Linked DNA regions of Ovis aries. The protein of the gene in region 1 purifies or fractionates together with the protein of each later gene. This does not show direct contact. Links are inferred from orthologs where the notes say so. Each region holds a gene or a part of one and is shown in the gene's direction. Other genes may lie near its edges.

What was found.
Region 2: the proteins of PARD3 (region 1) and PRKCI purify together in Homo sapiens (affinity purification with western blotting; 5 studies listed by BioGRID and IntAct, with this or other methods). This does not show direct contact. The link is inferred for Ovis aries from reciprocal best matches to the Homo sapiens genes PARD3 and PRKCI.
Region 3: the proteins of PARD3 (region 1) and PARD6B purify together in Homo sapiens (affinity purification with mass spectrometry; 5 studies listed by BioGRID and IntAct, counting the BioPlex papers as one, with this or other methods). This does not show direct contact. The link is inferred for Ovis aries from reciprocal best matches to the Homo sapiens genes PARD3 and PARD6B.

Annotation. Positions count from the first base shown.
Region 1 is NC_056066.1:17,895,016-17,899,276, forward strand, and holds the start of PARD3 (partitioning defective 3 homolog), read left to right. Parts: upstream 1-1,319; 5' UTR 1,320-4,261. UniProt on the Homo sapiens protein: Adapter protein involved in asymmetrical cell division and cell polarization processes. Seems to play a central role in the formation of epithelial tight junctions. Targets the phosphatase PTEN to cell junctions.
Region 2 is NC_056054.1:217,793,456-217,797,101, reverse strand, and holds part of PRKCI (protein kinase C iota type), read left to right. Parts: intron 1-1,299; coding exon 1,300-1,476; intron 1,477-1,921; coding exon 1,922-2,019; intron 2,020-2,661; coding exon 2,662-2,748; intron 2,749-3,646.
Region 3 is NC_056066.1:78,706,389-78,710,487, forward strand, and holds the start of PARD6B (partitioning defective 6 homolog beta), read left to right. Parts: upstream 1-1,182; 5' UTR 1,183-1,398; coding exon 1,399-1,464; intron 1,465-4,099. UniProt on the Homo sapiens protein: Adapter protein involved in asymmetrical cell division and cell polarization processes. Probably involved in formation of epithelial tight junctions.

The DNA of each region.
Region 1 (4,261 bases):
TGGAAGTAATATTTAATGCTTTGTTTGTATCTTCCATCAGTTACTGAATCCACCTACTTGTTAGATCTCTCACATTCTTCTTCAGTTTTGTCCCGATGGTGAAAGCGTGGCTTCTCACAGCTCCAGGAGATGATGCTCCGGCAGCCTCTGTGGCTTGAGCAGTGGAACCTCAATGCCTTGCTGTCCTGTTGATCTTGTGGGGATTGAGTTCCCTGATCACTTGCTCATCCCTTGCGCACACTGGACACTCCCAGGGAGGTGGACCCCCCTCCCACCACCTCTCAGCCCCAATCCTGCCCTGCCTCATCCAACTTAGCATGCTCACCCTGTCTTTGGAGAAAAGGGGTCAGTTTTTTTGTGTCCTCCTGCTTGCCATCTTGCTAAACCCAGGTGCCAGTCAAACATCCCTGCAGCATTAGCCTCCATCACTTTCCTTCTTTTCATATGGTTTAATTTACACTGTATTCTTTCCACAGTTGTTTGACTGTTTTCAAAAACAGCATGGATAGAAAGAAACCTAATTTGAAGGTTAGAATTCTGTTATTTTTAGAATGCAGCCTCCTCAGCCCTGGAATTGATTTCATTTGGTTGTCACTGGTCTTTGTGGAGAGTGAACCTGGCTTAGGATTCACATGTAACCTAGTCAAGTTGCTTCAGTGTTGTATTACTTTGCATAAGCTTTGTCAAGGGGGCGTGAATATTTGCTGTAGATTCAGAGTTAATGCATCGCCCTTCTCAAGGTACTTCCATTGTCCTTCTGCTGTGATGGGGCTCAAAACTGCGTCAAGTGCCCTGAAATCAGTCTGAAAAGTTCTTAGTTCATAACATTGTGACTTCTCATTAAATGGCAGTGACAGTCCTTAAAGGCATATTATCTTATTTAAATTATGATGAGTTTTGCTTTCCTAAATCAGTGGGCGCAATTTTAGGACTCTAGTGGCATTTATATGTGTATATATAGGTATTATTTTAGGTGCGTTGAGAAGAATTCTTGACAAGGTACAAAATGGCATCAATTCCAAGGCACTTTTTTTTTTTTTTTCCCAAAAAGTAAGGGGAAAAAAAGAAAAGCGAGTGTCAGTAGTCTACACTTGATTTATATTTACTGTGGGAGCAATGGTTTCCCATATATCTTACACCATAAACTGAAATTTTGGTGCCAGTACCCTGGTGTGCGGTTCTATCCAGAATGGAGACAGGTTTTTGCAGGGATGTCATGTGACTGTGAGATGGGCCCCAGAGACGCTTTGTGTCAAAACAAATACTCACCTGGTCCAAATGGAGTTTGCCCCTTGTTTGTTGATTGGAGATTTTTAGTTAAGAATGGGCTCTGGTGTTCAGATGCTTGGATATGTTGATGTTATGCTGCTTCAGTCTCCTGTGTGCTGGTTCAGGCTCTGCTGTGATGTGAACAGAGCCCTGTCTTGGTGTTGGGAGGTGGTCAGAGGGCTGGGCTGGACACGCCTGAGGCCGCCAGTATGTGGGGCTGGTGACTGAAAGGTGGGGGTGCTTCTCTGGCTCACATAGCACATGTCAGACGGGTTTTCTGTTTTCCTTGTGGAGTTTTGTTGACCTGCTTTTCACTTTAGTCTGTTGATAAACAGGAAGTGCTGTTGCAGGGCTGAGAGGGGGTGTCTGAAGGACTTTTACTGTTAAGCCCATATAGGATTTCATTTTAAAAAGAGGAGAGGTGAGGGGTTGGAGAATGTAACCCAAGATAATCCCACAATCCTTAGTTTTGGGATTTTAACCAGTGTGATTTGCGGTCTTTCAAAATGCTTGTTGGATCTCGAACTGTGGGTCCACACCTGCAGCTTCTGTGGGTGGCAGCTTGCTTAAATAGTTGTTTAGAGCAAACACGAAGCTGGAGATGATGTTTGGGTTGGGGGCTTGAGTGTCCGTGATTCCCGCTCAGGTTTAGAGAGCCTCTTCTGCAGCCTGGCCCCCAGAGTTCCTGTGTGTGCGCCTCAGCTCTCCACATCCCGGTCCTGTGAAGAGAGGAGTCGGGTACAAGACAGGTGCTGAGGGGGTGTGTGTGTGTGCTGTCTGGGCTTTACTCCCCACTGTCCAAACATGCCATGTACATCTTGGCCTCCTCACCTTTGTCTGAAGACGTCCCCCACTTGAGGGGGCGTAATTCCTTTGTGAAGTGTTCTTTGTCTCTATTTGTTTTTGTAATTCCTGTACCACTTGATTGGCATTTAATTTTGATACCTAGGAATTGTTAGTGAACTTTCCACACACCTGTGGTTTCCCTCCCAAAGTTGATTTGAAGTCTTGGCGGGCACGGGCCTCCATAGACCTGGCTGGACCCCTTTATCCTAAAACACAAGCTCAACTTTGAGACTGAGTGTTAAGGTTTTCATTGGCTGGTGGCGTGTCACATGCCAGCCTGTCACCTGCAGCTGTTAAACTGGGTAATGAGAGCGCAGTGTTTTCAGTCATTAGGAGCCGCTGAGTGGATGTTCTTCCCTATCCTCGACTGTTCCTGCTGGCAGGAGTCTTTAGCTTGGATGGGCCTGTGGCCTTGCTCCCTGCTTCCTAATCTGGATGGTGCAGAGCGTGGTCCTGCTGCCATCAGGAGGCTCCCTGTGTTTGGAAAGGTGGATGGATTGACAGCTCAGAACTCTGCTACTGCCAAGACATGTGTCTGTAAACACGTGCTCAGCAGAGGATGGTGTAGGTAGGGGAGGTTAGGTAGTTTTAATTTTGTATGATGAGTTGCTTTCAAGATCAGATTATGGTGGTTGTGAAAATGCTTATCTTCCCTCCACTTTGAAAAGGAGAGCTATTTGGAGTGTGTTCAATTTTTGTGTCTGCTTGAGCAATGTGTGACCCTCAGTGACAACGTACCTCCTTCATTGCTACACACATGGCCTCGAGTGTCTGCAGGTGGGAAATGACTGCATCGTTGGGCCACTGAGTCCATGGGGTCTTTTTTTTCACTGCCTTCTCGTTGTTGCTCTTGGTAGACGGGCTACATGCCTGTGTCATTAAAGCTCTGCCTTTGTGCCCAGTCCACTGTATCTGTGCATCTTCAGTGCTTCACAAACCAGCCTTGCTTCTGTTTTGCTGTCTTCCCACCCTGCCTGATAAGTTTATAGTGACATGTCTTACTGTTGTTTGAGGTAGTCCATTTCATGCTTTAATTACTAGTTGTATAATTAGGTTTTGCCTGAGTTCCCAAACAGCTAATTTGTTTCTTTGCATCCATGCAGGATTTTTATCGGAGACTTTAGGTATGATGCAGAATATGTTGGGTCTGTGCCTGCTATATTTCCTGTTTTAGTGCTTCGATTGCACAGCTTAGCATTTTGTTTTGTTTCTTTGGGAACACTGTGCACTATATTTTCTTAGAAGTAGTACATTGAAGGCACAGTTAACTAAATTTCAAATGCCTCATAACGGAAAACTTTACAAGGACAGCAAACTAACTGTGTATCTAAGGGATTAGGAAACGATATGGCGTTAACCTCTATAATCTGCTCACATATTTCATAAGGTATCTTGAAGCCCTTTCTTTCAAATTCCCCCATTTCAAATCAATTTGAAATTGACCAGATAAAGCCAGATAAGTTTGTGAGTCACACTAGGGATTTTCAAGGAAAAATTTTAAGTGCGAACACACTTGGAAACCTATGAGTTAGCAAAGGAATACAAATTGACCTTTGGTATTGGGTCACCAGTAACACCGATGAGTTTTAGGGTGTGGGGCTGTGTTTAAGTGACTTGGGGCTAGGGACCATTTGCTGCTGTAACCCTGTGTCTGTTCAGTGCCTGCCATCGAGTAGATGCTCCTTGAGTGTGTGAATCAGGTCCTGAGGCTTGATTAGGGTGATACTGTAAACATGCACATCTTCCAGACACTGTTGTGAGTGCCGTGGAGAGACAGGGCAGGAGACAAAATGAGACTGGAGGCTGCTGCTGTGCAGGGTAGATGTTAGCAGGCACTGACATTTGGGTGAGCTTTCCCCGGGGTTTCCAGGAGGGGCCCAGCGAGCTATAGCAAGTCCGAGTGACAAGGAGACCCCGTGCATTCACTGGCCCGGGTCTCGGTGTTCGTGGTGACTGTGTGCTTTGTCTGTCTGTCGCTCTCTTCTCTGCTGAAAATCATCCTAAAAGCTGATGCAGGTTCCTCGCCTGCACATATGTCCAAGGTAATGAGACTTGGAGAGGACTCTGGTCTCTGGCACATCTTTTGAAGATACCATCATAGCTCCCGCCCTGGACCCATGCTGGGAGTGTCCTGGGAGGAGGAGGG
Region 2 (3,646 bases), on another chromosome or scaffold:
TTGTTCTGTGTCCTTCCTGTGTGTCTGCTTCCGTATGAGATCATCTTCCTGAAAAACTCAGTGTTTCCTTTAGTGAGAACAACTAGTGATGGATTTCTTTATTTTTTGTTTTTTTGAAAATGTGTTTATTTCACTTTCATTTTGAAGGGTATTTTTACAGGCTTTAGGATTATAGAACATCGGGAGTGGGGGGGTTTAGGCCCTTTAAAAGGTGACATTCCACTGTTTTCTGGCTCTGTCATTTCATTCAGACTTAGTATTGTTTATGTGAAGAAACTGTTACCTTCACTCCATTTGATTCTTTTATGGTTTCCTATTAACCATACTTAGTCTATACATTGTTTTATCTTTTTTTACCATTTTCTGCATTCTTAATCTGCCCTAATCTGGTTTTTTTCACTCCTTTTTATTTATCCTTGTTTCCCAAGTCAGATTATTATTTCTACATTTTCTTTTGAATCATCATTCTCCTTCAGTTTTCATAATCCTCTCCCCCCCACCCCCGCATTGGTGCTTACTAGTTTCTTTCTGAAAGTTGCTCCTTGCTTTTGTTTATATACTTTACTTCAGAGAATTCACACTTAATTCTCATGCGTACATCTGTTGGTTGTATGCTGACAATTTTGCAGGCATCTAATAAAAGATTATCTTTCGTCTTCTTTGTGAAGAATCAGAAGCCTAAGTTTCTGGTTCTGAATGAATTACAGGGCTGTCATCCCAAAGGAGCCTTGATATTGTGTAAATAAGAATGTTTTACATTAGCTGAGCTGCCTCATGCTTGCTTTCTGCGTATAGTTTTAACTCAGCTTTCATACATTAAGCTCCTAGCTGACTCATCTTGATGTCTCACTTGTAACTTCTAACTTCAGTGTGAAAAACTGAGCTCATTATCTCATCAACTCTGCCAATCTTATTCTGTGTGCATACTTTCTTTTTCTATCAGTGATGTCTCCAATCTCCTGGTCACCAAAGTTAGTGTCTTTTTTTTTTTTTTTTAATGCTTCTATCTTCATTGCCTCCATACCCCAAAGTTATCAGATTCTTTTAAAGACATCTTTTAAAGTTTCTCAGGTTTCAGCTTCTTCTCCATTCCAAACATCACCCCTCTGATCTCAACTCATGAATTTATCCTATCTCTTAAGTAGTGCAATTGTATCATTTGGGTTGATATAAGAAAATAATTAAGAATTTAAATCAGAAAATATTTACAAATCTTACAGGTGTATCTGGGTGTTAGAAGTATATTGTGTTATGCAAAATACTTCAGGTATAGCTCTTTGATATAAATGTTCTCAACAGGCAATGAACACCAGGGAAAGCGGCAAAGCTTCTTCCAGTTTAGGTCTTCAGGATTTTGATTTGCTCCGAGTAATAGGAAGAGGAAGTTATGCTAAAGTACTGTTGGTGCGATTAAAAAAAACAGATCGTATTTATGCAATGAAAGTTGTGAAAAAAGAGCTTGTCAATGATGATGAGGTGAGCACAACGATGTTTTATTGCCTCTAAACTATTACATTGGCTTAAGTGTATGATATCAGAAAAAATGTCAGTGTTTGTGCCTTACTGTTTTAGTGTGCTTTTCTAAATACATGCTTCAGACTGCTTAATATATAAGATATATTTAAAGTTGTCTGATGATTATTAGATTTAAAAAAATAAACATCAAACCATATTATTATCAAGGGAGAGTACTTGAGCTTTGTAAAAGTTTGCTAGACTCTTTAATAATATTGAAAGATTTGCTGGGTAGTAGTTTCTCTTTGTATATAAATTATTATTTCATGATTATCGATGTTTCTGATGTTTAGCCCAGTTAGTCAATAGTTGCATTTATGGTAATAGAATTACTAAGAACAAATTTGCCATAGTTTTGATACTGTCATTCTAGTTTGACATAAATTTCCTTCATATTTTAAAATAGGATATTGACTGGGTACAGACAGAGAAACATGTTTTTGAACAGGCGTCCAATCATCCTTTTCTTGTTGGGCTGCATTCTTGCTTTCAGACAGAAAGCAGGTAAGATTGAAAGATAATGGAATGATTCCTGGGTTTGACACAATAAGAACATTTTGGTCTATTATACAGTAAGAACCTATTTTACAGTAATTCCTGAAGTGGAAATCACATGGAGACACAACAGTACTGTGTTTATAATTGCCGGCAACTCCTGTTGGATCAGCATTAGGAAATTACCTGCTTTACACCAAAAAAAAGTCAGAATTATGACAGGAGAAAGTAGATATCCAACCTTTTAAATATCACCAAAATTCTAGTTTTAGGACTTAAAATTTCCTAGAGTTTAATTAGGTGGTAAATCCTAACTTCTTTCACTTTAAATGACGATTGGAAATGACTTATACTGCACATTCTAAAATTGGATTGGGGTGGGAGTTCTGGATTGTAAGTGGCACTACTCCAGAATGAAAGTAGCAAGTTACAAAATTACTATCTTTCTGGTTTACTTTCTTGTATCCTCTGTGGTTAAACAGCTTTCTCCTCCAGTCACCCTTTGTTTCCACCAAATTCCTGGAATATTTGTTGAGGGTTTATCTTGTAGAGCTCTCTGTACTGTGACTGGTCTCTGTAGTGTTTAAACTGCAGACGTGAACACAGCCTTATTTTGGATCTTGGTTTCACGTGTTCTCTCCTGTGTTTTAGATTGTTCTTTGTTATAGAGTATGTTAATGGAGGAGATTTAATGTTTCATATGCAACGACAAAGAAAACTTCCTGAAGAGCATGCCAGGTAAGTTTTGTGTTTATTGTTTCTTTGTGTTGGATTTTGGTAGGAGTAGTTCTGGGACTTTTTGTATGTCGGTGGTTGAAAACAGTAGATAAATCATTTATTTTGATTCCAACTAATTCTCTGTAAGTTATGTAGAGGCTGAGCTGAAAATTAATTTACATTTTAATATTATATATATAGCATTATATATTACATATAGAATAATCTAATTATAAGCAGTTGAGAGGTATAAACAGTATTCAAGGGGAAGCCTTCAGTCGACTAAGCTCAATTATTTTCAAATATTTTGCCTATTCAGTATCAGCCACTGAAATAATGAATGAATATATAAACATATTAATCTTATTATGCAATGATCTCTGACAGTTTTTCGTTAGAAGATGATTGTTGGGACTTCCCTGGCGGTCCAGTGGTTAAGACTCTGCGCCCTTAATGCCGGGGGCATGGGTTCAATCCCAGGGAACTAAGATCCCTCTGGCATGCCTCACAGCACAGCCAATAAAATGAAATAAAATAGAATAAAGGTTATTGTTCATATATACTTGAGCGTAATGAAACAATTCCTCTTAACCTATGATGTAATTCGGACTGTTCTTCCATAGTTATAGTTTCTGAATTATTCTGCCTTTGGCATTCCCCCCTCTTACTCCATATATGTTGATTAATAAGAGAAAGAGTATTAAATATCATTTGTTTTGCCCTTAATTTGATATTATTATACAAGATAGTAAATAGTTTTTCGAGGACTTTGGTGGGGAAGGATCATGGCCTTGGATAAGAAGTTTAATCCGTCAGTGCCATATTTTGTTTTGTTTTTTACTCATAATTAGAAATAATTCTACCCTTCTGCACTTCACGAGAGTAATGCCAAAAGGAAGCAAGTGAGTTTGTATGTGTA
Region 3 (4,099 bases), about 61 Mb from region 1:
CTGGGGCTCTCCTCCTCACCACCCCAGCACTGCCAGTGCTGCAAAGGATCCCTGAGAGGAAAAACTCGGCTCTGAGCATTTAAAGAGAAGGATTCAGTCTTCTGTTATCAAGAACATAGCTTGGTCATTCCACAGGAGGGACAGACAAAACACAAGCTGGCGGCTGTCACTGGTGGACACAGTGAATAGCCCAGAAATGGCTGGAGGGAGAGGAAGATCCTCAAAGGTTAAACATAAATTTAAAAGACAAGGGGGGCGGGGAATCCCTGGAGGGCCGATCTAGAAGTACGGACCTTCGAGGATCCATCCCCGGCCTTTGCCCATTTCCCAGCCCTCCCAGCGCCTACTCGATCCCACGGGACCTGACTGGACTGCAGAAAGTCTCTACCAACGACATTAAGCCAGTAGAGCCCTGCGATTTTTCTCCAGTTACTGTTACAGAGGCGGGAAAACTGGAATTTTGCAATCCGAGTTGCAGCCAGACGACTAGACGCAAATGGGTGACGGAGGGGCGTTGTAGGAGGCTGCAGCATCCCAAAGTGGAAGGCGGTGCAGAAAGCCTGCAGCCCCGCAGCGCCCAGCAACTAGCCGGGAAGAGTGCCCCACGCCCCGGCGGAGCGCGAGCTCCAGCCGGGTACAGAGCAACCAGGCGCGCGCCCGCGCGTGCGCTAAAGGCCCACCCATCCCAGCGCGTCTCCAGGTGCGCTCGCGCTTCCGGCCGGCCTTCGCTGGGCGGAAACTCCAGGACTCGCGCATGCGCTTTGGAGCTCGCCTGCGGGGTCCGGAGCGCCCCTCCCGGCTTCAGGTGATCCCACCCCTCCCTCGCCGCGCGGGACCAATCGAACGGCGGCAGGCGGGCTTTTCGAGCAGGAGGCCCCGCCCACGCGCGGCGCGAGGCGGGTACCGATTGGTTGGCGCCGCGGGCGCAGGTGCGCGCTTCCCATTGGGTGGGGGCGGAGCGCGGGCTGCCGAGGCTTCGGCGGAGGCTGCAGGTGAGCGCGCGCACGCGCCGCGGCGGCGGCCCGGCCCGAGGGGAGGGAGCGCGCGCGCGCGCGGGGCCGGCAGCCGAGAGCGAGGCTGCGGCGCGTGTCCCCGCCGCTCCGCCCCCTCCGCCGCCTCCGCCGTCGCGGCCGCCGCCGAGGCCGGGAGGGCGGGCTCCGCGTCCCCGCCCGCCGCGCCGCCAGTCCGACCCTCGGTCCTGCAGCGTGAGGAGCCAGCCGAGCGGGGCCTGGCGCGGAGACGCGAGCCGCGGCCGCCCCTCTGCAGGTGCCTGTGAGGAGGAGCCCGGGCCGCCGCCGCCGCCGCCGCCGCGTCCCGAGCCCGCCGGCCGCGCACTCGCCCCGCGCGCCCCCGAGGGGCGGCCCGGCTGGAGGAGGCCGCCGCGGGCCCGGCCTCAGGATGAACCGCGGCCACCGGCACGGGGCGGGCAGCGGCTGCCTGGGCACCATGGAGGTGAAGAGCAAGGTGCGCGGGCCCGGGCAAGCTGGGGGCCCCCGGGGGCGGGGGGCCGCAGTGACCGGGCCTGGGGCCCCCAGGGGCTGGCCGGGTGTATGGGGCCGCCGGGGCCGCGCTGGGGGGACTTGGGGGCTGGAGACGGTGGGGAATGAACTTGCCGAGGATTGGCGGCGGGGGGCCCTTGTGTCCGCTCCCGCCCCCAGGTAAGGCAGGAGCCCCACCGAGCGCTTAATCCCCTTCCGTGAGCAATCATTCCCCTTCAAGGATGGGAGTCAGGCCCAAGGCATACCCGAGGATGGGGGGGCATTTGAGCGAGCGCAACGTGGTACGAAAGGTTTGGAGGAATTCTGCCTTCTGGCATGTGAGTAAAGAGTTTGAAACATCCGTAGTCACCCAAATGTAAAAGTTAGCCTTTGCTTCCTGTAGGGATTTTTCGAACACGAACTTTGGTATGCATTGAATCTTGTAAAGTGAACACTGTCACCTTTCGGGTGAGTGGCACTTAGCAGTTTTGAGTTTGGATGCCCTTCTCATTCCATCCTGCTACTCTTTCAGGTCAAGTGTTTTTTCCCTCTTGACCAACGGTATGCCTATCTGCCGATGACAACGTGTGGGTATCCTCTGAATTCCTAAATTGCAAGGCTCCCTGAGCAGGACAGTGTATCGGGATTAGTGAGGGAATGCTTTCTAAGGGAGGTTTTGAGCTGGAATTTGAAGACGATCGGCAGCCCCAAGAACATTCTCAAGCAAGCATTTCATGAATTGAAGAGCCAGAAGGGACTTAGATAATCTAGTCTGATTCTCGGAGAAGACAGGGGCTCAGAAAGGTTTTGACTTCAACAAGCTCTGCTTTTTATGACAAAACCTTAAAGCCCTTTTTACAAGATAAGTTTTAGGCCTTCTGGAATACTAAAGAGAGCACGCGGAGCTGAGCCCCCTGAACGTTTAAAATAAGAGTTGGAAAGATCAAGACACAGGGAAGAGTAGGAGAAAAGGAAAAGCGTATTAACTTCAAAAATAATGAAACCTTACTGAATATAAGATAACAGGGATGTGGTAGAAGGGAGAACGCAAAATCAAGGAGTGATTTTCAGTGAAGGAGAGTAAGGAAGGCTCTCTGGGGTAGAAGGGTTTTTATTATCTGGAGTTGATAAGTGAAGTCCTGTAAGTTGCCATAACTGAGATCTGCATTCATTTTTAACATTTTAAGACATCATTTTCAACTTAACTGGTATCACAGTAGGTACTAATTTCAAAAACCCTTCTGCTTAATAAGAACAGAAATATAGCAGGTTCAGAAATACACTGTCTCCTGTGTCCTCCATGGAATTGCCATGGCAAATTGAAGTGACATGCTTGAACTAAGAGTTAAGATAACAAAATATATAGCGAGTTTTTCCTCTAGCATATAGTGGTAGTAGTGGTTCTGTGGCCAATGGTTGAACCTTCTCACAGCATTTCTGTTATAAATCTAGTTTGGGTTTGTGGGAGTTGAGGTTAAGGAAAGAAAAACACGATATTGCGTAATCTTAAAATTCAGTTTGTGGTCCTAATCTTGGTAGCAAGTCTTTAACTTTTTATCATAGGAAAAAAATGAGTAGGGATTCTAGGTGCTCTGATTAAATACAGTCAAATGGTAATTTATCTTTCAGATTAGGAAACCTTGAGCGTGTAGGGACTAGAATTTCAGGCTTTCCATGCTTCTCTTCTGTCAACTGGTTTGTGAATCTTTCCCACACTACCCATTATATATTTGGCCTGCTCTTCTGGTAAACCGTAGCTCTTAAACAGAATCAAGGGTCCCACTCATTCTAGCTGCTGATCAGTAGGCACAGGGGAAGTACAGTTTCCAGTGCGTCTCTGACACCTTGTGTTTTAACTGTACATTTATTTTTAAGGGGTTAAAGAAAAGCACTTGACATCTTCACCATTTAAACAATATTTGGACAGATAGGTGGAACAATATGTCCATTTTCACTGCTTTGGTGGTAATATTACAGCTTTTTACAAAGTTGATAAGGAAGAGGTTGTGACCCCAACTCTGTGGTATGCAGATCCACATTTCAGGATTTCTTTTTCTTCTACATAAAAAGCAAGTTGTCAACGTCATGTCTTTGCTCATGGAAGGAGAAAATGCTACAAATAAAGTAATGGATCATGCAAATATAAGTATAGTTAAGTTGTGATACCAGTTACCATGTGACTTTTCTTTACAGTAACTTTCTGGTAACATTTATCTTCCTGTATCTATAGAGTTGAGAGAGCTATTAATAATCAAGGAGATGTCCTTCAGCAGTCTTGGATGTCAAAGACCTGGAATAGTCATTGAGCTGTACATTTCCTGGTTATTATTCATGGGGAACCAATACTAAAATCAAGTTTACATTTCTAAAGTGTTGTACCTAAAAATGCTGGGTGATGGGTGTCCATCCCCATGACCAGGCCAAACTAGACCAGGCTAAAAAAAAGTTTGAATAGTTGTTGATTGAGTCTTAATTTTATCTCTATTTTTGTATTTTTTTTCACGTGGTAAAAAGTTCTCTTAATCCTGTTGTGCTGCAAGAATCATAACAATTTCTCTTTTTTTTCTGCTAACTTTGCAAAAGGGCACATCTACTGTGAAGCCTTACAATTTCCCATTGTT